5 linked regions of the Macaca mulatta genome follow. The protein of the gene in region 2 purifies or fractionates together with the protein of the main gene of each other region. This does not show direct contact. Links are inferred from orthologs where the notes say so. Each region holds a gene or a part of one and is shown on either strand. Other genes may lie near its edges.

What was found.
Region 1: the proteins of SIN3A (region 2) and ARID4A purify together in Homo sapiens (affinity purification with western blotting; 6 studies listed by BioGRID and IntAct, with this or other methods). This does not show direct contact. The link is inferred for Macaca mulatta from reciprocal best matches to the Homo sapiens genes SIN3A and ARID4A.
Region 3: the proteins of SIN3A (region 2) and SAP30L purify together in Homo sapiens (affinity purification with western blotting; 4 studies listed by BioGRID and IntAct, with this or other methods). This does not show direct contact. The link is inferred for Macaca mulatta from reciprocal best matches to the Homo sapiens genes SIN3A and SAP30L.
Region 4: the proteins of SIN3A (region 2) and SAP130 purify together in Homo sapiens (affinity purification with mass spectrometry; 4 studies listed by BioGRID, with this or other methods). This does not show direct contact. The link is inferred for Macaca mulatta from reciprocal best matches to the Homo sapiens genes SIN3A and SAP130.
Region 5: the proteins of SIN3A (region 2) and ING1 purify together in Homo sapiens (affinity purification with western blotting; 5 studies listed by BioGRID and IntAct, with this or other methods). This does not show direct contact. The link is inferred for Macaca mulatta from reciprocal best matches to the Homo sapiens genes SIN3A and ING1.

The regions. Positions count from the first base shown.
Region 1 is NC_133412.1:131,471,791-131,476,523, reverse strand, and holds part of ARID4A (AT-rich interactive domain-containing protein 4A), read right to left. Parts: intron 4,376-4,733; coding exon 4,281-4,375; intron 3,806-4,280; coding exon 3,708-3,805; intron 3,174-3,707; coding exon 2,942-3,173; intron 1-2,941.
Region 2 is NC_133412.1:53,435,938-53,440,670, forward strand, and holds part of SIN3A (paired amphipathic helix protein Sin3a), read right to left. Parts: intron 3,112-4,733; coding exon 2,873-3,111; intron 1,643-2,872; coding exon 1,459-1,642; intron 1-1,458. UniProt on the Homo sapiens protein: Acts as a transcriptional repressor. Corepressor for REST. Interacts with MXI1 to repress MYC responsive genes and antagonize MYC oncogenic activities. Also interacts with MXD1-MAX heterodimers to repress transcription by tethering SIN3A to DNA.
Region 3 is NC_133411.1:163,319,242-163,323,974, reverse strand, and holds part of SAP30L (histone deacetylase complex subunit SAP30L), read right to left. Parts: intron 2,186-4,733; coding exon 2,063-2,185; intron 1-2,062.
Region 4 is NC_133417.1:9,257,830-9,262,562, reverse strand, and holds part of SAP130 (histone deacetylase complex subunit SAP130), read right to left. Parts: intron 3,447-4,733; coding exon 3,211-3,446; intron 1,770-3,210; coding exon 1,611-1,769; intron 109-1,610; coding exon 1-108. UniProt on the Homo sapiens protein: Acts as a transcriptional repressor. May function in the assembly and/or enzymatic activity of the mSin3A corepressor complex or in mediating interactions between the complex and other regulatory complexes.
Region 5 is NC_133422.1:105,129,144-105,134,212, reverse strand, and holds the end of ING1 (inhibitor of growth protein 1), read right to left. Parts: intron 2,684-5,069; coding exon 1,980-2,683; 3' UTR 849-1,979; downstream 1-848. UniProt on the Homo sapiens protein: Cooperates with p53/TP53 in the negative regulatory pathway of cell growth by modulating p53-dependent transcriptional activation. Implicated as a tumor suppressor gene.

The DNA of each region.
Region 1 (4,733 bases), about 78 Mb from region 2:
CCAACTCAAAGGTACATTTCTCTTCCTTTTGAAAGTAAAAGAATAACTAATATAAATTACTTAATTATGTCCAGGTCTACTTTGGCTACATACTACTTAAGAAATATCTGTCAGAATCTGTTTGAGTGAAAAAAGGAAACAACAACAAAAAAGAAATAAAAGTTGTCTCCTTTGTTTACTACGTCATTTTATCTCACTTTTATTCTCAACTATAATAAAAATTTAAAATAAATTATCTAATGTTAATGATAAAACGTAACAATAATAAAGCAAATCCCCTGAATTTTGCTTCTTTAAAAGCTCTGTGGTCTCTAATTCTACAGCTTAGTAAGACAAAATTTACATTGTCACTGTATTTGTGGATGACTACATTTTAAAAGGACTGAATTGCATAAATGGCAAAAAAAGTGAGGAGACTTCTTTGAATGAGTATCTGGAGAGTTCGCTGGGCCAACAGCAATATGTTTTACCCCCACTAGCTTCTATCTAGCCCACTGAATGCTGAAGTGACCATGACTGGTGAGCAATTTCACTATCTCCTAGGTTCTATTTCAAGACAACTTTTATACACTGGCAGAATTCTCCTCTTCTTGGAATAAAGCAGATAAACAGCCGGCAACTTAGGGAGCATTAGGATACAATTAATATCTCAGTAAGCAAATGTTTTCCCTAGTTGCTGGCTATGTGCTATTTACACTTCAAAGGCAGGAAAAGAAGAAATTTTTTTCTATCATAAAGCACTAGCATGCAAGTTCCAAGATGGCACTTCCATCTCCTCAGATCTACACAGTGGCTGGCACATAGCAGGTGTTTTTGTTTTTGTTTTTTTTTTTGAGACAGAAGCTCACTGTGTCGCCAGGCTGGAGTGCAGTGGTGTGATCTCAGCTCACTGCAACCTCTACCTCCCAGGTTCAAGCGATTCTCCAGCCTCAGCCTCATGAGTAGCTGGGACTACAGGCGCACGCCACCATGCCCAGCTAATTTTTGTATTTTTAGTAGAGATGGGGTTTCACCATGTGGCCAGGATGGTCTTGATCTCTTGACCTCGTGATCCGCCCGCCTCGGCCTCCCAAAGTGCTGGGATTACAGGCGTGAGCCACCGCGCCCGGCCTAGCAGGTGCTTTTAAAATATCTGTAGGTAAATGAATGAAAACAACTGCTATAAAACTTGGGTCTGTATGCCTTTTTCCCAGAAGTACCATTTTTATTTATTTATTCAATTTTTTGAGATGGAGTCTCGCTCTATCACCTAGGCTAGAGTGCAGTGGTGTGATCTTGGCTCGCTACAACCTCTGCCTCCTGGTTTCAAGTGATCCTCCTGCCTCAGCCTCCTGAGTAGCTGGGACTACAGGTGAGAAATGCCATTTTTAGAAGCCTGGCTTATATATGTGGATAAGTGATAAGGATATTTTTACAAGCAAATGTATTACAGCACTTTTAAAAATAGTAAAAAATTGGGAGAAAATTTAGGAGAGTGTAAATTTATGGTTCATCTATACTAGACAGCACATTGCAGATATTTTATGTAGGACGAGGAAGGTTTTTAGGTAATGACAAGAAAGTATGTCCACAATACATACAATAAAATATTATTCACCTTTAAAAAGGAAGGAAATTCTGACACGTGCTACAACATAATGTCTTGCAGATATTATGCTGAGTGAATAAGCCAGTACAAAAAAACAAACACTGTATGATTTCACTTATATAAAGATACCTAGAATATCAAATTCATAGGTACAGAAAGTAAAATTGTGGTTGCTAGGGGTTGGGGGAAGAATGAGGAGTTACTGTTTAATGGGTACAGAATTTCAGTTTTGCAAGGTAAAAATGTTCTGGAACTGGATGGTGGTGACGCTTATGCAACAGTGAGAATGTACTTAATGCCAATGAAATGTACACTTGAAAAGAGTTAAGGTGGCAAATTTTATGTTATATGTACTTACCACAATTTTAAAAAAAAATAATAAAAGAAAAGAAAACCAATTTGGAAACTTCATGACATTCACTAAAAGATTCCATTTACTACATGAAAGAATGAACAGTTTTAACAACTGGTTTCTGGACTATAAGACAAAGAAATTTCACATTCTTTTTCATTAAATATGATTCCACCAAAAAATAAGACATATTATACTAGTTAAACTTCTTTGACGGTGCGGTAAATTCCTTTCTCTTTCTAAAACTTGGTAAATCCTACTATGTAAACATTACTGGACACTGATCCAAATGCTAGATGACAATTCCTAAACAGACTTTATATATTAAAGGAAAGAAGGAGCAGAGTTGGAAGATACAACCAGCGTACATGTACACATCACTAGAGCCACACAGTGTGCTATAAAGTTACAGAGAAAGACAAGATACCATCTAGTTCAGGGCACAGGCACTATAAAGAGGTGATTCATTTATTCAACATCTATTTAATAAGCCTTTATTACGTGCCAGGCACTATTCTAAATGCCTGGGATCTGTCAATAAACGAAATAAACACTAATCCCTGACCTCGTGGAGTGTAATTCTTGTGTAGAGTGGCGCAAAATAGATAATCACAATAAACAGAATAAGTAAATTACAAATAGGAGCAACATTACAGGGACTGAGAGTTCTAAAGAGAGGAGGCAGGTTACAATTTCAGATAAGGTGACCGAGATAGCCTTCAATGAGGTGATACTTTAGCAAAAGACTTGGAAAAGGAATATCTGAGATTCATCCCAGATGAGAATGACTTGATCGAACATAAACAGAAAACAGAAGGAAGGGTTTTCAGGTAGAGAAAATAATATACAATATATTTAGAAAAAAGTAGTTAGCTAAGCAGCATTAAATACTGGAAAATAAGCTAAGTTCACTGTAGTACTTTTGTGTATATATGAAAATGGCTATAATAAAAAATTTTAAGTAATACTTAAACCAGATAAAACTAGTATTAAGAACTCACTCTCGGAGATTTTAATTCTATCTCTTCTCTTTCACTTTCACTGTTTGAATCAATATTTTCCTCAGGTTCACTCTTCACTTCTGTTAAAGGCATTTCTTGATCTAATTTGAGAGCCTCTTCCATTGATTCTTCTAAGTCTTTTTTTTCCTCTTTTACTTTTGGTTCATGGTGATGAATAGTTCTGAACTGAATATTTGCCGAACGGCAGTACTCCTCAAAACCATACAGATACCTAAACAAACAATATTTCATTTAAGAAATCTTACAGTCTTTGCATTTAACTTGAATTCACATGTTATTAAACACATTTTTAAAAAGTAAAGCCCAGTAATTTAAAAAAAAATTTTGTGTTGCTATTTTCTGTGTTACTATTTTCTTGGTGTTTTAGGTGGAATTATAAACAGAAAAACTGATCATAAAATGCTGTCCTGAGGCGTCTCAGCTTGTGATAACTAAACATAACTATCGTAAGTTTTGATATGAAGGCTGTTCACCCCAAAAGATGTAGCTCTATAATATGTATCATAATCGCAGACACTGTCTGCGTCTTGCTTTTGGAAAGGAAATCAGGACAACATAAGAAATGGAGTAAATAAGATTTGATGCAATGAAATAACTTTCAATCACAAGTATCTGTCAACCTAAACCTTTTTATACACTTTCTCTAACTTTAATGTTCCTAGATTGATGTATTCTTGTTAACAAAGTAAATGGAAAATATTTCCTATAAATATATATTCTTTGATGAATAAACTATACTACTTACTTTCTATAAGCAGTTTTTACATTGTAGGAAGCAGCTGAATTCAAAATAGGAATGCCAAGGTCCATATAAATTTGCTTCCATACAGCACCACTATCAATCTGGAAAATTAAGTTTTTATGTTAACATTTGCAAAGGGAATTAATCTTTTTTTTTTTTTTTTTTGAGACAGGGTCTCACTCTGTTGCCCAGGCTGGAGTGAAGTGGCGCAATCAGGGCTCACTGCAGCCTCGACTTCCTGGGCTCAAGTGATCCTCCCACCTCAGCTTCCCGAGTAGTTGGGACCACAGGCATGCGACACCACACCTGGCTAATTTTTGTTGAGATAGGGTTTCGCCATGTTGCCCAGGCTGGTCTCGAACTCCTGAGCTCAAGCAATCCACCCCGCCTCAGCCTCCCAAAATGCTGGGATTACAGGTGTGAGCCACCATGCCTGGCCAGGAAATAATCTTTACCCTAATATTCTATGTTCATTAAGGAAATGTATTTATTATCCAATGTGCATATAATGCAATATAAGATAATTTACCTTTTTATGACACCAATACATGTTTCAAATAGCAATGTTATACTTACATTGTCACATCCACCCTGATGATAAACCAGTCTGAAGAGTTTGAAGAGATTGAGATCTTTATAGCCCAAAACAGGTGGTTTGTTGATTGGAGTACCTTTTCAATGTAAGTAGGTAGAAATAAAATGTTTATTCAAATGAGAAATACTAATTTGAAAACAAAGCTGTCAACTTCTAATTTCCCAAATTTCATTAATTAGAGGCACATATTTAAAGAGCCTTAAACAATGTAAGACAACATAAGATATGCTCTCCATTATTTATATAGCCTTTGTGGGGAACTTCAGATTTTAGGTGTTATACTTCTAAAACTAATAAAGCCACCTCTTTAACTGTGAATGAATTGAGTAAAACTAAACACTACATGGTGTGGCCAACAATGTTGCTGGTTCAAGCTTGGGCGTAGGGCTGGGTGCAGCGGCTCACACCTGTAACCCCAGCACTTTGGGAGCCTA
Region 2 (4,733 bases):
AAAAAACAAAAACAAAACTTAGGGCCAAACCGTAACAATAATTTTGTCCCTCTTCCAGAAACAAATAGGTAATGACGGAGATGTGGTTTGATGTCAAAATACAGGTACCTTCTATACATCAATGACTTACAGGGCGAGTGGGACAGAACTGGAGCCATCTTTCTTTTTCTTTTTTTTTTTTTTGACAGGGTCTCGCTCTGTCACTTAGGCTGGAGTGCAGTGGAACAATCCTGGTTCACTATAACCTCCATCTCTCGGGTTCAAGCCATTCTCATGCTTCAGCCTCCTGCGTAGCTGGGATTACAGAAGTGTGCCACCATGCCAGGCTAATTTTTGTATTTTTGTTAGAGATGAGGTTTCACCATGTCCCCAGGCTGGTTTCGAACTCCTGGCCTCAAGTGATCTGCCCACCTCAGCCTCCCAAAGTGATGGGATTATAGGCGGAAGCCACTGTGCCCCGTGGGACTATCTTTCAAAATTCTGGACTAGTATTTATATAGAGGATATGATATGAGGTCTGTAATTTACTTCTGGGGTGGGGGTACGGAGGGTGACAAAGTAACATCAGCAAAATATGGAGGATTAAGTTTATTTATTTTATTGATTTTGAGACAGAGTCTTGCTCTGTCACCCAGACTACAGTGCAGTGGCATGCTCTCAGCTCACTGCATCCTCTGCCTCCCGGGTTCAAGACATTCTCCCACCTCAGTCTACCAAGTAGCTGGGACTACAGGTGCAACCACCATGCCCGGCTAATTTTTGTATTTTTAGTAGAGACGGGGTTTCATCATGTTGGCAGGGCTGGTCTCTTAACTCCTGACCTCAGGTGATCCGCCCGCCACGGCCTCCCAAAGTGCTGTGATTACAGGTGTGAGCCACTGTCCCCGGCCTGATTGAGTTCACCTAAGAGCTCATTTTACTATTTTTAAAATTCAGGATCACCCCACTCCAGGAATTCCCAATTGCACTGCATTTATGTTTCTATCCATCTGCTAAAACTGAGCCCATGGAAACCAGAATTGATTGCTTATTCATCTCTGATCCTAGCTCCTAGTACTATTTATAGTTCTAGTAGGCATGCTGAATAAGCAAGGATTACAAAGAGTTTGGTGGTCAATGACAAGTTTTGAAGCTATAGTAAGGAGAGATGGGACTATATGAATACAAGGTATTGTTTGAGGGAAACAGGCAGTGGGAGAAGTGGAAAATGGAGGCAGGAGGTATAAGTTGAAACCAGGATAGTAAACTAGGGAACTAGTCAAACAGCTTAGGTATAAAGGTAAAGTTTAGATTTAAAATAGTAGAATGAGGAATAGAAAAGGCTATGACAGCTATAAAGCAGGAATCAACAGGTCTTAGAGAGTCTCACCTGCATTTAACAAAGGTAATTTCCAGAAATCAAAGCTGTGCTAAACATAGACTAGAGTCCTCTCACAGATGTAGAAAACCCCAGCTCACCTCATCATAGATACTCTCAATCTCATTGAGTAAGCTCTTAGACCTCAGGACCTTTGTGTCATTCTGTTTAAAGTTGATCCCCTGGTGGTCCAGAGACTTCAAGTAGTATTTCTCATTTTGTTCTCGCCATACTTTGTTAAAGCCTCGCTGAGCTTCTCGCCATTCTTCCTCTTTCATCTTCAACCTAGTGAAGTGGGAAGGGATGGAAACAACATATGGGAATTCAGAGGGTTTAGAAGAAAGAAATTTGCCAGGTTTACTTTCTTTCAAGAAAAGTCAAAGCTATATTAGGTCTGTCAAAATTATTGGCAACTTGGGATGTTATCAAACCAGTCTTGAACTCTGTTTCATGAGGAAATTACTTATCTAAGACTTATTTTGGGGAAATGAGTTATCTCAAAGTCAAATAATTTACCTAGAATGGTTACTTATCAAACAGCATTCCAGGGAATACCTTTGAGATGTAAGTATTCCTTGCAAAAAGAGTTCTTGTTTCTCTGCTGTAGGACTTTGTAAAATGTTCACAATGCTAATAGAAACACAGAAGTCCAAGAGCAGAGAACTTGCACAGTTATGTTCCTCTGGATACAGTCTGGAAAGTTCTGATCAGAACTGATTCTAATAAACCAGAAGAGAACAGGCTAAGACAAAAAAACAGCACTAAAACTGAAGAATAACCTATATTTCAAAAGCCAGAAGTTAAATACTACAGGCAAGAAGAAGAAACCATCAATCTGTGCCAGCTCTTGAGGGGAAGATGAGGGAGGACAAATAAAATCTGGGTATTTGTGAACTGTGCAGCAACTAAGAATTAGTTTTTACCAGATGATACTGAGAGAACCAAGCTCCTAACAAAGGATTTACAGTGTGGTCAATAATGACATGGGGCTGGGCATGGTGTGGCTGGTGCCTGTAATGCTAGCACTTTGAGGAGGCCAAGGCAGGAGGACTGCTTGAGCCCAGGAGTTAGAGGCCAGCCTGGGAAACATAGCAAGACCTTATCTCTATTAAAAAAAAATAAAATAAAAATTAGCTGGGTGTGGTGGTGTACTCCTGTAGTCCCAGCTATTCAGGAGGCTGAGGTGGGAGGATCACCTGAGCCTGGGAAGTTGCGGCTGCAGTAAGCTGTGTTCTTACTACTGCACTCCAGCCTGGGTGAAAGAGAGAGATCTTGTCTCAAACAAACAAACAAACAAAAAAACCACAAAGATGTTAACAACAGTTAGTCCTGAGCGTGGCAGGAACATGGGTGGTAATTATCTTCTTTTCTGTATTTTAAAATACTCCCCCAGGGTTGGGGAGAAAGAGAGGTCTCATGGGACAACCAGGTTGAAAATGAGAGACTTATTTAATGGGACACTGAACCAGTAATGAAGTACACACTAAAGCACTAAGGGCACATTTGCTCAGGTACCTTTTAAGGACAATCGGAACAGCAATGGAGGGATTCTTTCTCAGACCATCAATGATGTCAGCTGCTTTATCAGCATATATCCTCTGGAGTGCTTTTCTATGGATGACTTCTGATGTGCCCCCAAGGGTGTTGTCCAAGCGAAATTTGGCTTGTTCCTCAGCAGACAAGCGGGAAAGCTTCTTCTGTATTGCTTCCAGAACCCGGATTGTTGCCAGATTGGTCTCTAAAACTACATCAAGCTGAAGAGGAAGACAAAGAAGGGTATGCTCAGGACCCAAATCAGAATAGAATAGAGTAGTGATTAGAAAAATAAGGTAGGGAGTCAAACTCCTTGGATTTGAATCCTGGTTCTGCCCTACTAGCTACATAAGACTGTTTCTTTATCAGCAAAATAGGGATAACAGCACCTATTACTCTCACAAGCCTATTTCTGGATTAAATTATACAATCCACATAAAGTATTCAGCACAATACCTGGCACATAAGAACCACAGGATGAAGCTGGATAAACGGTAGTTATCACCACCACCACCTGCACCGTGTGCTTTGCTTAAGACTACTGATCTTAGACCGGAGGAACCTAACAAGAGATGACTTTACTGATACTTTTCCCTGAACTTTCCTGAATTGCTAAGATCCGTTATGAACAAACAATAACAATCAAAACAATACCAAAAGACGGCTCTGTCTTGAGAGTTTTTTTTTTAACTTGAAATATTTAAATATATTCAAATACTAAAATACTCAATAGCCTTGTTCCACATCCAGTAATAATAAGAGCAGTGACTATCATACCCTAAGGAGTTCACTGTTGTATCTGCGGGTAATGATTTAAATTCTTATTGGACTCCTAAATGAACAGTCTACAACCAAATGTTTGCAGAAGTGTTCCCTAAATTTTCTTGTTTTGGAAATGTGGTCATCATTTTGTCAATACTTCTGGCCCCTCTTGCTCTCCAATTACCGACAAAAAATGGACTAACTTCCTGACTCCCTTATGATTGGATAGGGTCATGTAACTAGTTCTGACAAATGAGTTGTTATGAGTTGAGAAGAAGTAATGTTTATCACTTCTAGGCTGGAGCATTTAAAGGTGTGAGATCCTTCTGAGATCTCTTTTCCTCCTAGTGACTAGCAACAATCATAATGGTGGCAATCCCTTGGCCTGAATCCCCAAGTGATTCTGATATGCCAAATCCCCTGCTAAACATCAATGTACATGTAGAATGATTAGAAATTAAACCCATTGGCTTTACAAGTCACTCAGATGTGGGAGCTGTCTGTACTGAAGCATTACTAACCTATCTTAATTGGTAAACATGTTCCTTCAAACTCGCTCATCCCACCAAATCTTAAACACATGCTTACCCCACTTCTTTCATCTTTGCCCTTGTAGTCATAAATGGGAAATGAAGTTGCCTCTCATTTGGAAGCATACCAGTTGAGAGGGGATAGGAACATTCTGTCAAAAACAGATGCCAAGCTCTGCTAACTCATCAGCTAACCTTACTAAACATAAGTAACAAAGAAATGCTTGGTTTTTTTTTTTTGAGACAGATCTCGCTCTGTAGCCCAGGCTGGAGTGCAGTGGCGCAATCTTGGCTCACTGCAAGCTCCGCCTCCCGGGTTCACGCCATTCTCCTGCCTCAGCCTCCTGAGTAGCTGGGACTATAGGCACCCGCCACCGCGCCCGGCTAATTTTTTGTATTTTTAGTAGAGACGGGGTTTCACCGTGGTCTCAATCTCCTGACCTCGTGATCCGCCCGCCTCGGCCTCCCAAAGTGCTGGGATTACAAGCGTGAGCCACCGCGCCCGGCTGAAATGTCTTCTTTAGCTTGATAGCACTCCCTATGGAAGTTAA
Region 3 (4,733 bases), on a different chromosome or scaffold from region 2:
ACTAGTAACTGGTTGGGAGGGCAAAAATAACAGTGGAAAAACAGTTCTGGCTGGGGTGGGCTGATCTCACACAACTGGTGGAGAAGGTAAAGCTTAAGCTAAGGAGAAGCAGGGTCTGATAAGGCACTGAGAAACAGGGTAGGGAACAGGAGAAAAGATCAGAGCACAGAAAGCTGGAAGAGGCACAGATGGGCAAGGGGGTCACAGGCAACTGTGATGGGTTTAAAAGGTGAGAATGGATGGTAGCACATCTAGAAAAACAGAAGGAGCTATCACAGAGGGTAGAGGGTGATGGCACAGGATGGGTCTGGTGGTGGCTGTTGGGAACACTGATGGGGGAACACAGAGGGAGATGCTATAGCAACAAGCAGAATGAGATAAAGAGGTTGAGCTTTGGAGAGGCAGTGACGTTAGAAGGGACACCAAAGATGGAGAGCAAAGGCAAAAACCAGAGACATCCTGGAGGAAGATAGGCCAGAACGAGGCAGCGACCAGATAAAGGGGCACAAAGGAGGGCAGTGGGAAGAACTGTTATCCTCAAATAGCCCTTTCCTAGGCCCAGCCTTCTGGTGTTAGAATCCTTAACCTCCCTCCAGAGAAAGTTCAAAAGTTACTGTAGTGAATGTGCAAACCAGCAGGTTAGGGTTGGGGTCTTTGCAGATGACTGGATAACAGAGGGGAAGGGACCCCCCCTTTTTGTTTCTAACAAAGGAAGAGAGGAAAGCTGCATAGTCATGAAAAATCGAAGGCCCATAAAGTTGGGCTGCCTTTACCTGCCTCTAAAAGAGCTGTTCTTGCTTCAGGCAGGTGGAGAGCACTTAAAAACAAAATGAATGATCAATATGAGGGGCCAAAGTCCTTCATTCTTTTCAAAACATTCCTTAAAACCTTTTTTTTTTTTTTTTTTGGTGAAAACCACTTAGAAATCGAATACATCCATTTCTTTATAAAATAACAATAATGCTAAAAGCAACAGCAAGATTCTGTAAACCAACATTGGAAAAGGGGACACAGGGAGGGGCAGAGGGAAAGGGCCAGATTTTCAACGGTTTCCTCCACATCTGCAGACAAAGGCCCGCCTACTCTTTCTATTCCTACACAGTCATTTTCACTCTGAGTGCTAACAGGCGGTTGCCTTATGAAATATTCATGTGTCAAATATTCAATGTACACTATAAACGGTTCTTCTTTTGCTGAGTCTTGAGTGAAAACAATTTAGTAGAAAGAAAATCCAATATTCCTTCCTGAAGCCTCACTTAATAGACACAGGCACCTGAAGGGAAGGCGGCCTTCCAGTTTGAGAAGCCTAGGTCTTATGGTCTAGCGCAGTGGTTCTCAACACAGGACGATTTTGTCTTGTAAAGGAGGTGTGGCAATGTCTGGAGACACTTTTCGATTGTCATGACTCAGGATGGTGATGGGTAGAATCCCATGAGGGGATGCTGCTGCGGCATGCTGTTAAATATCCTACAATGCAGAGGACAGTCCCCACAACAAAAACTATCTGACCCCAAATGTCAACAGTGCTAGAGTTGAGAAAACCAGGTCCAGTTTAGTCAACTTTGAAATGGATCCTTGGGAACAGCCTGGACTAGGTGTCAAGAAACCAGTGAGAGAAAATCAGAGCTGGTATGAACTGATGACCTACATCTTCATTTTCTGGGGAAGAGACTTCTCCCAAACCATTACACACTCTCTAAAGGTTTTAAACAAGGTTTTTTAAAAAGTGACACTGTGGTTGTATTTATGCATTTGTCAGGGGCGTCTTGCAGAAAAACAGCGTGGTCTACTGGAAAGGGCCCCAGACTAGAGCCTCCAAACTATATACCTGACCTTGGCTCTCTGTGCCTGTCCATAAAATGATGGGGCAGTCTGACCAGTGGGTATCCAAGCTTTTAGCTCTCAGATTCTGTATTACTATAATTCACTTTTCAAATAATCCACAGCAAAACAAAGGGGACTAAAATTACTTCTTAATACAAAAAGCAGACCAGGCCAGAGGTGAGGATCAGATTAGAATCCATTTTTCCAGCTTCCGCAAATTGATTTCTTTGACCTTTACCTCAGGAATGTCAGTGTCGTGCTCGGGAGAATCTCCACCATCGTCACTTGTCTTCCTCTTCCTTTTATTTCGGACACTCTGGATGAAATTTTTGTGAAAATCACAGATATATAGGTGCCTTACCTGACGGACAGAAAAATCAAAGTCAGAGTTGGCCAATTCCTTGGAGACAGCAACAGGTATCTGTCAAATTGTGGGGCTTCCGTCCATTGCAGGGCATTGGAGAGATAGACAGAAGACAAGATGTAGGCCTCCCAGAAGCTCACTACTGAGGTGCAGAAGAACACCAAGAGAACGCTAACATCACACTTTGTGGCGTATCATACACCAAGCCTCCAGTGAATGGTGAAAACAGTAAATGGTACAGATTCAGCAAAGGAAGAGATTCCTGCAACAGAGATGCTCAGGGTGAAGGGCCCTGACTAAAAGGGAGGACTTTAGGCAGACAGGAAGCATTCCAGATGGGTAGGAGTGCCAAGACTTTAGAGTTTCCAATGGAGGATGACAGAAAGAGTGAGGAGGCCCAGGGTACAGTGTCAGTTGGGTGATGATGGCTGCCCATGTAATGTAGGAGCATAATGAAAAAGTGAGGCATCTGGGCGGTGGGCATGAGAACAGCTTAGACTTTCCTTCCGACAAGACAGAGTCCCTCAAGGAAGCAGGGAGTGATGCGACATTTTCAGAAGACCTGTAGGAGTCACGAACTTATAGTGGGCTGGAATGCACTGTCCTGGGGAGGAGGAAAGCAGGACACAAGGGACTGTGGCAATGGTATTTGGGACACTCTATTTTTACACTTACAATAGCTACTATTGTAGGATAATAACTCTCTGAAAAACTTTGTTTCTATGTGTCAATTTATAATTCTTGCATTATCTCACATCTGATCCACAAAGAAAAGTGGAAAAAGATGTGGAAATTCTTACAAGGTAGAACCACATACAAGAAGGTGGATACTACAGATTTTCTAATACAGGATGGAGGTAAGTGAAGGTGGCAGCAACAGCTAAGACATGAAGAATCCTCCATGGCTGGCTGGAGGAGCCATTGAAAAACCTTACAGAAACTGAATGCCTGGCAAATGACTTGGGGTTGTTGATAGTGAAACAGCTGTTTCACAAATGTTCTGCAGAGACTTCTGAATTTGAGTTTATTCCTTAAATCCTTAAAGATAAAAGTAAGCTGGCAGGAAATCGCATCAATTAATTCAGACCTTTTCATGGAGAAAATAATGAAAACTGTTCATTCAGATGAATGATCACTTTCATGTGGCTGGATTAGTGAGTCATGAGTACTTTTAAGTTTATACCGTGATGGTGTCTTGCAGACGGGAGGTACTCGGAAAATGTTGATGTACCAATATAGGAAATCTCCTATATCTAAAAGTGGCTTAGGCTAATGAAAGCCACTTACGTGGTTACAAATTGGGATAGCTTTGTCAGATTCAACTCGGACTTTCGAACACAGCACATGCCACTGTCCCTAAGAATCCCACCTAGCTGATGTATATAATACTGAACATGCTTTTCTCCAGGAAGAAAGCACAACAAAGCCCACTCTGCATCCCTGAGAGGAAGCTGGTCCTGCACGTTAGCTAGACTGGCGAGACCACTCAGATCAACTGCTCAAGTTCACATTAACAAACTTCATAGGAGAACAGAGAGAATAGGTGGCTTCCTTAAGCTTCGGCTGGGAGATTTCAGATCAGGACAATAGAATAACAGAATCCTAGTTGTAAGAGAATTTAGCAATCACTAGTACAATCCCATTGACCCCAATCCCGTTTTCTAAAAGGGTAAAAATGAAGCCATCCAGAGTGAGGAAATGACCTGGCCAAGGTCACCCAGGCCTTCTGCCCCCCTAGTACATGTCTTTTCCTACCGCAGCATTTTCCTTTATACTATTCTCAACTTCCACTTTTCTCCGGGGGAAAAAAAAAAAAAAAAAAGCAGAAATGTCAACTGGGGGTGTATTAATATTTTAATAGATCACAGAACACTGCCAAAGTCTATATAAAATGAGTTAAACAGCCTGAGTTGAATTTTTGGTGCTGTTATTTAAAAAGGTTCTCTGCTATACTCTCTTACAAGATAAATAATAATTTTCTCCTTAACCCTTTTCATGTACATACTGGTTTTCAGAAATTTCAGAGCTCAGTGGCCTTTGGGAGTGGGGTCGGGGCAGGAGGTGGTAGCAAAGGCTCTAGGTTTTTTTCCTTCACTTTCTGCAATAGCTAAAAATTATTGTAACATAGCAGTTACTTGGAATTGAATTCCTGCCCAAGCCTGTGAGAAAGAAATAGAATCCCTTTCAGAAATAATGACTCCACAACACCACCTTAAAACAAATTGTGAATGATTCCACCTGGAAACCTTACTCCTTCAGAAGTATTACCTTTTGGGAACACTAATGCTAGGCTCAGGCTGCCCTTCTTCTAGACAGTGGGTGTGAAATGATCAGCATAGCTCAACGTAGGTTTTCAAGTAGAGTCAATGGGTAAATAAAAGGAGTCCTGGTTGCAGCAGCAAAATCATTCAGATGGGAAGGCATCCAGTGATCTAAAAGGACTGGAAGATTCTATTTTTTTAAGGACTGGAAAATATTATTATAAGCTGCTCAAGTAAAGCAGCTTCTAACAACCTACACAGAAGGCAGGCAGTATTTCTAAGTG
Region 4 (4,733 bases), on a different chromosome or scaffold from region 2:
AGGTAAATGAGAAGCTCCAATGTGAAGAGGGGGCCCAGGAGCATTGCTGCGGATGATAGACATCTGCACGTTTGTAGTCATGATGTGGTGCAGGTTACTGGGATGGCCCTGAGAGAAAGAGGATAGAACGTTATTTTCACAGGTTTGGTCTTAGCCATTGCCTCTAGGAAGTCACCTGCCTCCAAATGTGGGTCAGGTTTTTTCTTTTAGATAGTGAGTATCCCAAGGGAAAGGGCTAAGGACATTTAGCTTGAGCTACTTTTACATGCTGTACTGTATAATGAACTGTGCTAACAGGCATGTGAGAAGTATGAGGACCCCACAACTGCTGCAGGCCCAAATAATAACAGATAACATACTTTCAACAGATAACATACTTTGATATCTACTTTTAGAAACTCTCATCTGTGATATTACCTTTCACACTTGTTTTTTCTGTCCTGGCCAAATGCTTATTTTTTCCCATTCTCACAATTTCCTTTACATACCACTGCATCCATCCATTCTTTAAGCTTTGTGTTTCTAAGTAAATGTCAGTTAGCATCCAACAGGTGCTCCGCTACCAGTTCTTCAGCTCAATCCTGAAATGTCCCTTACTCACATTCTCCCAAACCACAGAGAACAGTGCTTCTCAGCTAAGGGTTCTGGTACTTCTGAGAGTACTCAGCAGTATGACAAAAGGAAAAAACACAGTACACCTCTTTGGAATATAAATTTTTCTTGAAAACGTGAAGGGAACGTTTTTAGATTTATTTTTTTTCCCCAGGTAAAAAATTTTAAATATTTAATTAATCAAGTACACAGCAGAATAGGATTGCAAAATTTCACAAAAAAAGCCTTAAAACAGAAGACTTCAAAATAAATGTTGGCAACTAAGGCCAGGTGCAGTGGCTCATGCCTGTAACCCTAGCACTTTGGGAGGCCACAGCGGGCGGATCATTTGAGGTCAGGAGTTGGAGAGCAGCCTGGCCAACATGGTGAAACCCCGTCTCTATTAAAATAAAAAAACTAGCCAGGCGTGGTGACGCACGCTTGTAATCCCAGCCACTTGGGAGGCTGAGACAAGAGAATTGCTCGAACACGGGACGTGGAGGTTGCAGTGAGCCAAGATCCCACCACTGCATTCCAGCCTGGGTGACAGCGTAAGACTTTGTCCCAAAAAAAAAAAAAAAAGTTTGCAACTAGAGAGCTGCTTGAGGTTACCTACCAGTACCCCAAAGATGCCCATCTGCTCTCCTCAGAGAAACCACAGAGAAGCACTGCCCACCACTACCCCTGGGAGGCTGTTCTTGACGCTAAAATCAAACACAAACCACACTCCGGACTCAAGGACACGGACTGTTTTATCCAGATTTATACATCACACTGAGGGTCAAATCGAGCAGCTAGTAGCTGCTCAATAAATTCTAGCTAAATGACCACTATGGATACTGGCTTCTACTCCCTACAGTTATCCTTCTCTCTCAAACCTACTACCTTCCCTTGCAGGTTATGAGTGAGTGTTTAATCTTTTTTTATTACCATGCCTAATGTACTGCTAGCATTCAATAAATCATGATCAATAGTTTGGCATTTCAGTTGAAAATCAGCAAATTAAAAGGAAGAAAAACCTGTTGTCCACTGATTGTTGCCACAGGAATGGCTGAAGCTTGAGGGATGCTACTCTCCATGGTAACGGTAACCTGCCCTGGAACCTTGGGCGGAAGTGACAGGGTGGAAGGTGGAGCAGGAGCAATGGGACGGCTAGGCATGGTAGGCTTCGGGGGCGGCTGCAAACAGAAAACCACACAAAACATATCAATGGCCTCATACTGGTGATGCGTCTCAATCCAGAATTAAGAGTACACAAATCGAACCTGGAGAGTGCCAGGAAAGATGCCATAAGCTTTATACATTTTATCTATTAGCATCACAGTGTTTCCACTGAAGTACTAGCATTTCTATTTCACAGATAAAGAAACATACAAAGCAAGGCTAACTGACTTGCTCAAAGCCACACACACAGTAAGAAGAACTGGGAACAAAGCCCAGAGCTGTATGGCTCACAGCCCACACCCTTTCTTCTACATGATGCCGCCTCCCAAGTCTGGGTGGATTGAACAAAACTCCCAGTAACTGAAACAGAACCCCCAGGTAACGCACAGGCGGTATTCTCAGAAACCCCCAAATTAACCAGTTGCTAAAACAGACCTTAAGGAAGAGTGCTACTCCAGTTGGTCCCATGATACTGGGTTATCAGAACTTACAACATCACTGTCAGCCGGGTGTGGTGGCTCACACCTGTAATCCCAGCACTCTGGGAAGCTAAGGCGGGCAGATCACTTGAGGCCAGGAGTTTGAGACCAGCCTGGCCAACATGGTGACACCCCGTCTCTACTAAAAATGCAAAAATTAGCCAGGCGTGGTGGCGTGTGCCTGTAATCCCAGCTACTTGGGAGGCTGAGGCGGGAGAACTGCTTGAACCTTGGAGGTGGAGGTTGCAGTGAGCCAAGATTGCACCACTGCACTCCAGCCTGGATGACAGAGAAAGACTCTGTCTCAAAAAGAAAAAAAAAAAAAAAAAATTAGTGTCATTAAGCCCCCACTGCTAAAATCTGATTGGCTTAAAAAAAAAAAAAAGAGGGTCCCTTATCTAACTTAACATGCCCATAGGTTGAATAATATCAGTATCAAAATGGATAACAGCAAAGATTCTGTGATGCCAATGGCCCAGCAGCACAAGACGAGGCACTGCAGAAAATCAGGGCTGAGTTACAGAGGTGCTGAACTCATAGGTCATAAAGGAAAAATGAAATACGATCCTAAGATACAGCCTAAGATTTTTTTTTTTTTTTTTTTTTTTTTTTGGAGACGGAGTCTCTCTCTGTCGCCCAGGCTGGAATGCAGTGGCCGGATCTCAGCTCACTGCAAGCTCCGCCTCCCGGGTTTACGCCATTCTCCTGCCTCAGCCTCCCGAGTAGCTGGCACTACAGGCGCCCGCCACCTCGCCCGGCTAGTTTTTTGTATTTTTTAGTAGAGACGGGGTTTCACCGTGTTAGCCAGGATGGTCTCGATCTTCGTGATCCGCCCGTCTCGGCCTCCCAAAGTGCTGGGATTACAGGCTTGAGCCACCGCGCCCGGCCATACAGCCTAAGATTTTGTACAAATTGTTATAGAGATGAGCCAGTCTTGAGCTCTGGTTCAGTGTGAAGTTTTAACCCTCTCCATTACCTTCATAAGTCCCTCCGAAAATGAAAGTGGCACTGCTGGCGTCAGGTGTGCTGGCGGGGCTGTCACTGCAACAGGTGTGGCTGATGCGACAGCATGGTGTGTAGACAACATCTGCACCTGTGGATAGGGCCTTACCACGACAGGCTCTTGCTTCTCCTCCCGGGACTGGAGGGAGCTGCTGGAACTCATGTGCTCCCTGGCACCGACTTCAGAATCTCGACCAGATTCATCATTGACTAGTAAAGACATTAAACGTGAGACAGTATGTCACAGTCTCCCAATGTAAGATAGCGGCACAAACAAGAGCGGCACCTGAAGTTAAATCTCAGGATTGACCAAGTGGCCACTTCCTTGTGATGTTTTCTTAACAGGGTCAATTTGGGCACTGGATTCTCCTGATGGACATCAGACAGAAGAGCCACAACTGTGGAATGTAGAATTCATTCTGGATATTGTAGCCTTATGAATAAACTACCTGAAAATCATCTAAAATGAGCTGAAATAGTTAAAAGTACAATACAGAGTATAAGACAATTTCATTTAAAACATCTTCTTAAAAAGTTATAAAAGCCTGACATTAAAAAGATATTTTACGCTGTGCTGGCCAACATGGCAAAACCCTAACTCTACTAAAAATACAAAAATATAAAAAACAAAAAAAAACACAAAAAAACATCTTTTTTTGTAATCCCAGCTACTTGGGAGGCTAAGGTGGGAGGATCGCCTGAGCCCAAAACGCAGAGGTTGCAGTGAGCCAAGATTGCATCACTGCACTCTAGCCTGGGCGAGAGAGGAAGACTGTCTCCAATAAAAAACAAAACAAAAAATGTATGGCTGGTGCAGTGGCTCGCATCTGCAATCCTAGCATTTTGAGAGGCCAAGGCAAGCAGATCCTTTGAACCCAGGAGTTCAAGACCAGCCTTCGTAACACAGTAAGACTCCATCTCTGTAAAAAATATAAAAATTAAATGGGCATGGAGGCACGCACCCGTAATCCCAGCTACGCTGGAGGCAGAGAGAGGAGGATCACTTAACCCTGGGAGGTCAAGGCTGCAGTGAGTCAAGCCATGATTGTGCCACTGCACTCCAGCTTGGATGACACAGTGAGACTCCGTCTCAAAAAAAAAAAAAAAAAAAAAGGTGGTGGCGGTCTGGGCACGGCAGCTCACGCCTGTAATCCTAGTACTTTGGAAAGCCAAGACGGGCGGATCATTTGAGGTCAGAAGTTCCAGACCAGTCTGACCAACATGGTGAAACCCCGTCTCTACTAAAAATACAAAAAAATGAGCTAGGCGTGGTGGTACACACCTATAATCTTAGCTACTCGGGAAGATGAGGCAGGAGAATCGCTTGAACCCAGGAGATGGGAGGTTGCAGTGAGCCAAGACTGCGCCACTGCACTCCAGCCTGGGTAACAGAGTGAGACTCCGTCTCAAAAAAAAATTAAAAAAAAGATATTTTAAGTACAGTTCCTAAGTTTAAGAACATAGAGTTTTTCAAAACTTAAGGACAGAGATAGGAGA
Region 5 (5,069 bases), on a different chromosome or scaffold from region 2:
ACTGATTTTACCACGTACGAAGTTAAAGTGAACCATGCGTCACTTAGGGTGTGGTGGCTCACGCCTGTCATCCCAGCACTTTGGGAGGCCGAGGCGTGTGGATCACGGTCAAGAGATCGAGACCATACTGGCCAACATGGTGAAACCCCATCTCTACTAAAAATACAAAAATTAGCTGGGCATGGTGGCACGCACCTGTAGTCCCAGCTACTCAGGAGACTGAGGCAGGAGAATCGCTTGAGCCCGAGAGGCGGAGGTTGCAGAGAGCCAATATCACGCCATTGCACTCCAGGTTGGAGACAGGGCGAGACTCTATCTCAAAAAAAAAAAAAGAAAGAAATTAAAACTCCGGCCAGGCGTGGTGGCTCACACCTGTAATCTCAGCACTTTGGAAGGCCGAGGTGAGTGGATCACCTGAGGTCGGGAGTTCGAGACCAGCCATGACCACCATGGAGAAACTGTGTTCTCTACTAAAAATACAAAATTAGCCGGGCGTAGCGGCAGGTGCCTGTAGTCCCAGCTACTCAGGAGGCTGAGGCAGGACAATCACTTGAACCTGGGAGGCGGAGGTTGCAGTGAGCGAAGATCGCGCTATTGCACTCCAGCCTGGAACAAGAGCGAAACTCCGTCTCAAAAAAATAAAAAACAAATGAAAACTCCACTGACCCTTTCAATATGTGGGCAGATCAATGTTAGATGCCAGTTTAAATCAGAGGTCAGCAAACTCTTTCTGCAGAGGGCCTGAAAATAGTTTTGGCTTGTCAACTCAAAAGGTCTCAGTTGCAACTAATGAACTCTGCCATTTTGCAAAAGCATCCACAGACAATACATACGCACATAAGCACAGCTCTGTTCCACCGAAACTTTATTTATGGACACTAGAATTTAAACTCCATATAATGTTCAAACAAGTGGTGGACTGGACTTGACAAGTGGGCAGTAATTTCCTGACCCAGGGTCTGAATACAGATTCTGTTTTGACACATATTTATTTGCTGGCAATTAGGTAACTTCATTATTAATAAGTGAGAACAATAATACAAAATTTACTTAAGGCTTCGTCTAAACTGCTGGTGTATAAATTTTTAAGACAAATTTTAAAAGTTACTTATGTCAAAATTAAATATACTACTAGAGGAACAAACTGGCCAAGTTTCATTTATTTCTTCACGTAACATTTTTACAGCTCACATACAGCAGGAAGCACACCTTTGCACATAATTGTGACATTAGCTTCACAACAGCATCTGCTGACTGCACTTCCAATCATAATATAGCAAGTGCAAGTTCACTTGGAAATGTACATTTATACACCTGATATAAATTAAAGATGGCTACACTATGATTCGTGATAGCAAAAGCATGACTTGAGGTTCCTTGACTAGACCGCTTGTTTAAGAGAAGTGTACCCAAGCATTTTAAAATGGCCATTTGGGGAACAGGCCAAAATATAAAATATCTATCATGTAAAATTTAACCATTTACCTTTTTAAAAAATAATCTTCAAACTTGAAACCTTTGTTACTGAATTGTTATATGGATATACATCATGGCAGCAAGAACCACATTTACTATAGGCTGTATTTTTGGCGACCGGCCAATTAAAAAAATTTGTTCATAAAGTAATATTACTTTTATTAAAAAAAAGCTAAATGAAGTATTTTCCTTCCACATTTAATGTGTTAGGTTGAGTTTAGTCCCCCTCCTCCCACAAGAAATCAGTCTGAGACTTAAGTGTTTAATCAAACCTATATTTGTAGTTTCTAAAATGCTGATCCACAGACCACTTTCTTGTTACACGTGTACCAATGAAAACAAAAGGCAAACAGAATCACTGCCATCCCTATGAAAGGAATGGTTCCTTTTCTAACATTCTTTAAAAATATACATTTTACACTCCCTGCACCTCAACAAAGGCGGCAATGTAATAAATACACGGTTTATTTTGTCCTCCTCACTACCAGGCGCCTGTCCACAAACTACCTGTTGTAAGCCCTCTCTTTTTTGGATTTCTCCAGGGCTTTGTCCATGGTCTTCTCGTTCTCCCCCCGGCACTTGGGACAGTACCACTTGCCCTTGGGTTTATGATTGAGCCCCACGCACGAGAAGTGGAACCACTCGATGGGACACTCGTCGTTGTCACAGCCGATCATCTCCCCGTAGGAGACCTGGTTGCACAGACAATACGTGGGTTCGTTGGGGTCGATGGGGAGGTCGGCAGGGGACGCCTCCCGCTCCGCCTTGGCCTTGGAGCGCTTCTTCTTCTTGGAGGTCTTGGCCTTCTTCTCCTTGGGTGTGCCCGAGGCGCTGTCCTCGTGGTCGTGGTTGCTGGACGCGTTCTCGCGGTTCTCGTTGTTGCGCTGCCTTCGCGAGCGCTTACTGTTGGGCTTCTCAGCCTGCGCTGCCGCCTCGCCTTTGGGCCTGTCCGCGCCAGCCTTGCCGCTGTTGCCCGCTGTGTCGCCCAGCTCCTGCTGCGCCTCGAACAGCTCCACGTGGCTGTCCACTTGCCGCGTGCGGTTCTCCACCAGCTCCACCATCTGGCTCACGATCTGGATCTTCTCATCGCCCAGCTCCTGGCTGCGGATCAGCGCGCGCTGTACACAGTGCAGCATCCGCCGCTTCTGCGCCCCGTCCGTCTCGCGGCTAAAGCGCTCGTAGTACTCGTCCAGCTCCTTCAAGATCTCTGGGGGCAAGAAGGACAGGCATCACTCGCGAGCAGGACATCGGGACAACCCACACGGCCCCGGACCCGGGTCTACGGAGAGGGCTGGCAGGGGGCCCAGGGGCCAGCGCACGGCTTGCCCAGCCCACCAGCCACAGGCCCTCCAGGGCCTCTCTGTTCCTGTGCCCTGGAACTAAATGCAAATGCCAGAAGAGCTCCCACAGGAAGAGGAGCCGCTCCAGCCATCCCAGAGAGAACCACAGAACAGTTCCTACGCACGGGTGACAATGCCCGAAGCCATTAAGAGGAAACATTTAAATGAAGTGCAGTGCTCGGGACCCAACCTGTATTAATACTTTCTATTAATGATTATGTCCTATACTGCCATCATTTTTACTCAAATGTTTCTATTTGAATGCAATTATTAATATACATATAACGTTATATATAAACATGGTATTTATTACATTATACACAATATACAAACGATAAAATATAAATTATTTGAATATTTCAAATAAAAAAGGTCTCTATTTTAACATACCAACATCTAGAATATCCTGTTAAATTAGAGAACGTGTATAAATTTATATAATAGCTCTCTATGATTTAAAGAACCGGGTTAACAGCAAAGGTCCAGGCTACTTTGTGTTAGGTCCTCAGTTTCAGTCCCCACATTTATTCTAGCATGTTATTCCTCTGTATTAGTGAAAGCAAGAACAGTTCTGCCACAATAATCCAGAAAAACCTAGCTTTGCTTTATTATTATTATGACTGTTGTTATTATTATTTTAGGGGCAAGGTCTGTCTCTGTCGCCCAGGCTGGAGTGCAGTGGTGCAATCTCGGCTCACTGCAGCCTCGACCTCCCAGGCTCAAGTGACCCTCCCACCTCAGCCTCCTGAGTAGCTAGGACTACAGGAGCACAACTGTAATGGGTCATTATTATTATTTTTTAACTGCAGTGAATGTACTAGCCTTGCTTTAAAACAAAGCTGGTAGATTTTACTTTTGCATCTACTGCTTAAACAAAAACATCTTCACATCTATTAAAGTCAATGGACTTTAAAATGCCATCAAAAAGAAAAGAAAACCTCTTCAGTATTTAAATATAAAACTTCTTGGGCATGTTAGAGGACAGTGCATATGATTTTAAAGTGTAATTAGGCAATTTCTCAAGAAACAAAAGCTGTTAAAAAAATCTAGTTGAGGCCGGGCGCGGTGGCTCAAGCCTGTAATCCCAGCACTTTGGGAGGCCGAGACGGGCGGATCACGAGGTCAGGAGATCGAGACCATCCTGGCTAACACAATGAAACCCCGTCTCCACTAAAAATACAAAAAAAATTAGCCGGGCGTGGTGGCGGCGCCTGTAGTCCCAGCTACTCGGGAGGCTGAGGCAGGAGAATGGCGGGAACCCGGGAGGCGGAGCTTGCAGTGAGCCAAGATCGCGCCACTGCACTCCAGCCTGGGCGACAGAGCGAGACTCCGTCTCAAAAAAAAAAAAAAAAAAAAAAAAAAAAAAAAAAAAAATCTAGTTGAAATAAGGGCAGTAAACAGTCTTGCCAAAAGGCTACTCACAAAGAAATTCCAGAGCTCTTTTTCCTCAAACAATAACCATTAAATTAAACAGTACCAGATTATTCTCCTAAAACCTTTTTGCAGTCTCTTTAAACAAGGCAACAATACTACTTTTTTTGTTGAGACGGAGTTTTGCTCTTGTTGCCCAGGCTGGAGTGCAATGGCGCGATCTCGGCTCACTGCAACCTTGGCCTCCCAGGTTCAAGCGATTCTCCTGCCTCAGCCTCCCGAGTAGCTGGGATTACAGGCATGCAACACCACGCCCAGTATTTTCAGTAGACAGGGTTTTCTCCATGTTGGTCAGGCTGGTCTCCCAACTCTCGACCTCGTGATCCGCCTGCCTCAGCTTCGGAAAGTGCTGGGATTACAGGAGTGAGCCACCGTGCCAGGCCAACAATACTACTTGTAAACTAGGAAGGGTATGGGGAGGGGCTGGGAGTGGGAGGGATTGTCTAAAATGGTACCCCCTCCCTTTCCAGATCTTATCTCCAAATAGTTATAAGATATATACCTAACACTAGAGTAAACATAAGAAGTTGGGCCAACGCTGAAGCTTCTCTAAATGGTATTATTTTCCAGAGTATATTCTCAAACTAAAGACAGCTCTGAAGACATTTCCTAGAAGAACAATGCAGGCTGCCTGCCACCAGGAGGAATGCCCTAGTCTCATATAGTCACTAATTATAAAAATAAATAGCTGTGTTCAACGTATCCAAGTAATACCAATTTATCCAACTTATTTATCATAGATGTTAAAATATGAGTGTGTACCATTTATTTTTAAATGGATTTAGGCTTATAAAATGGTATCACTTCTTTTCATCAGTAATC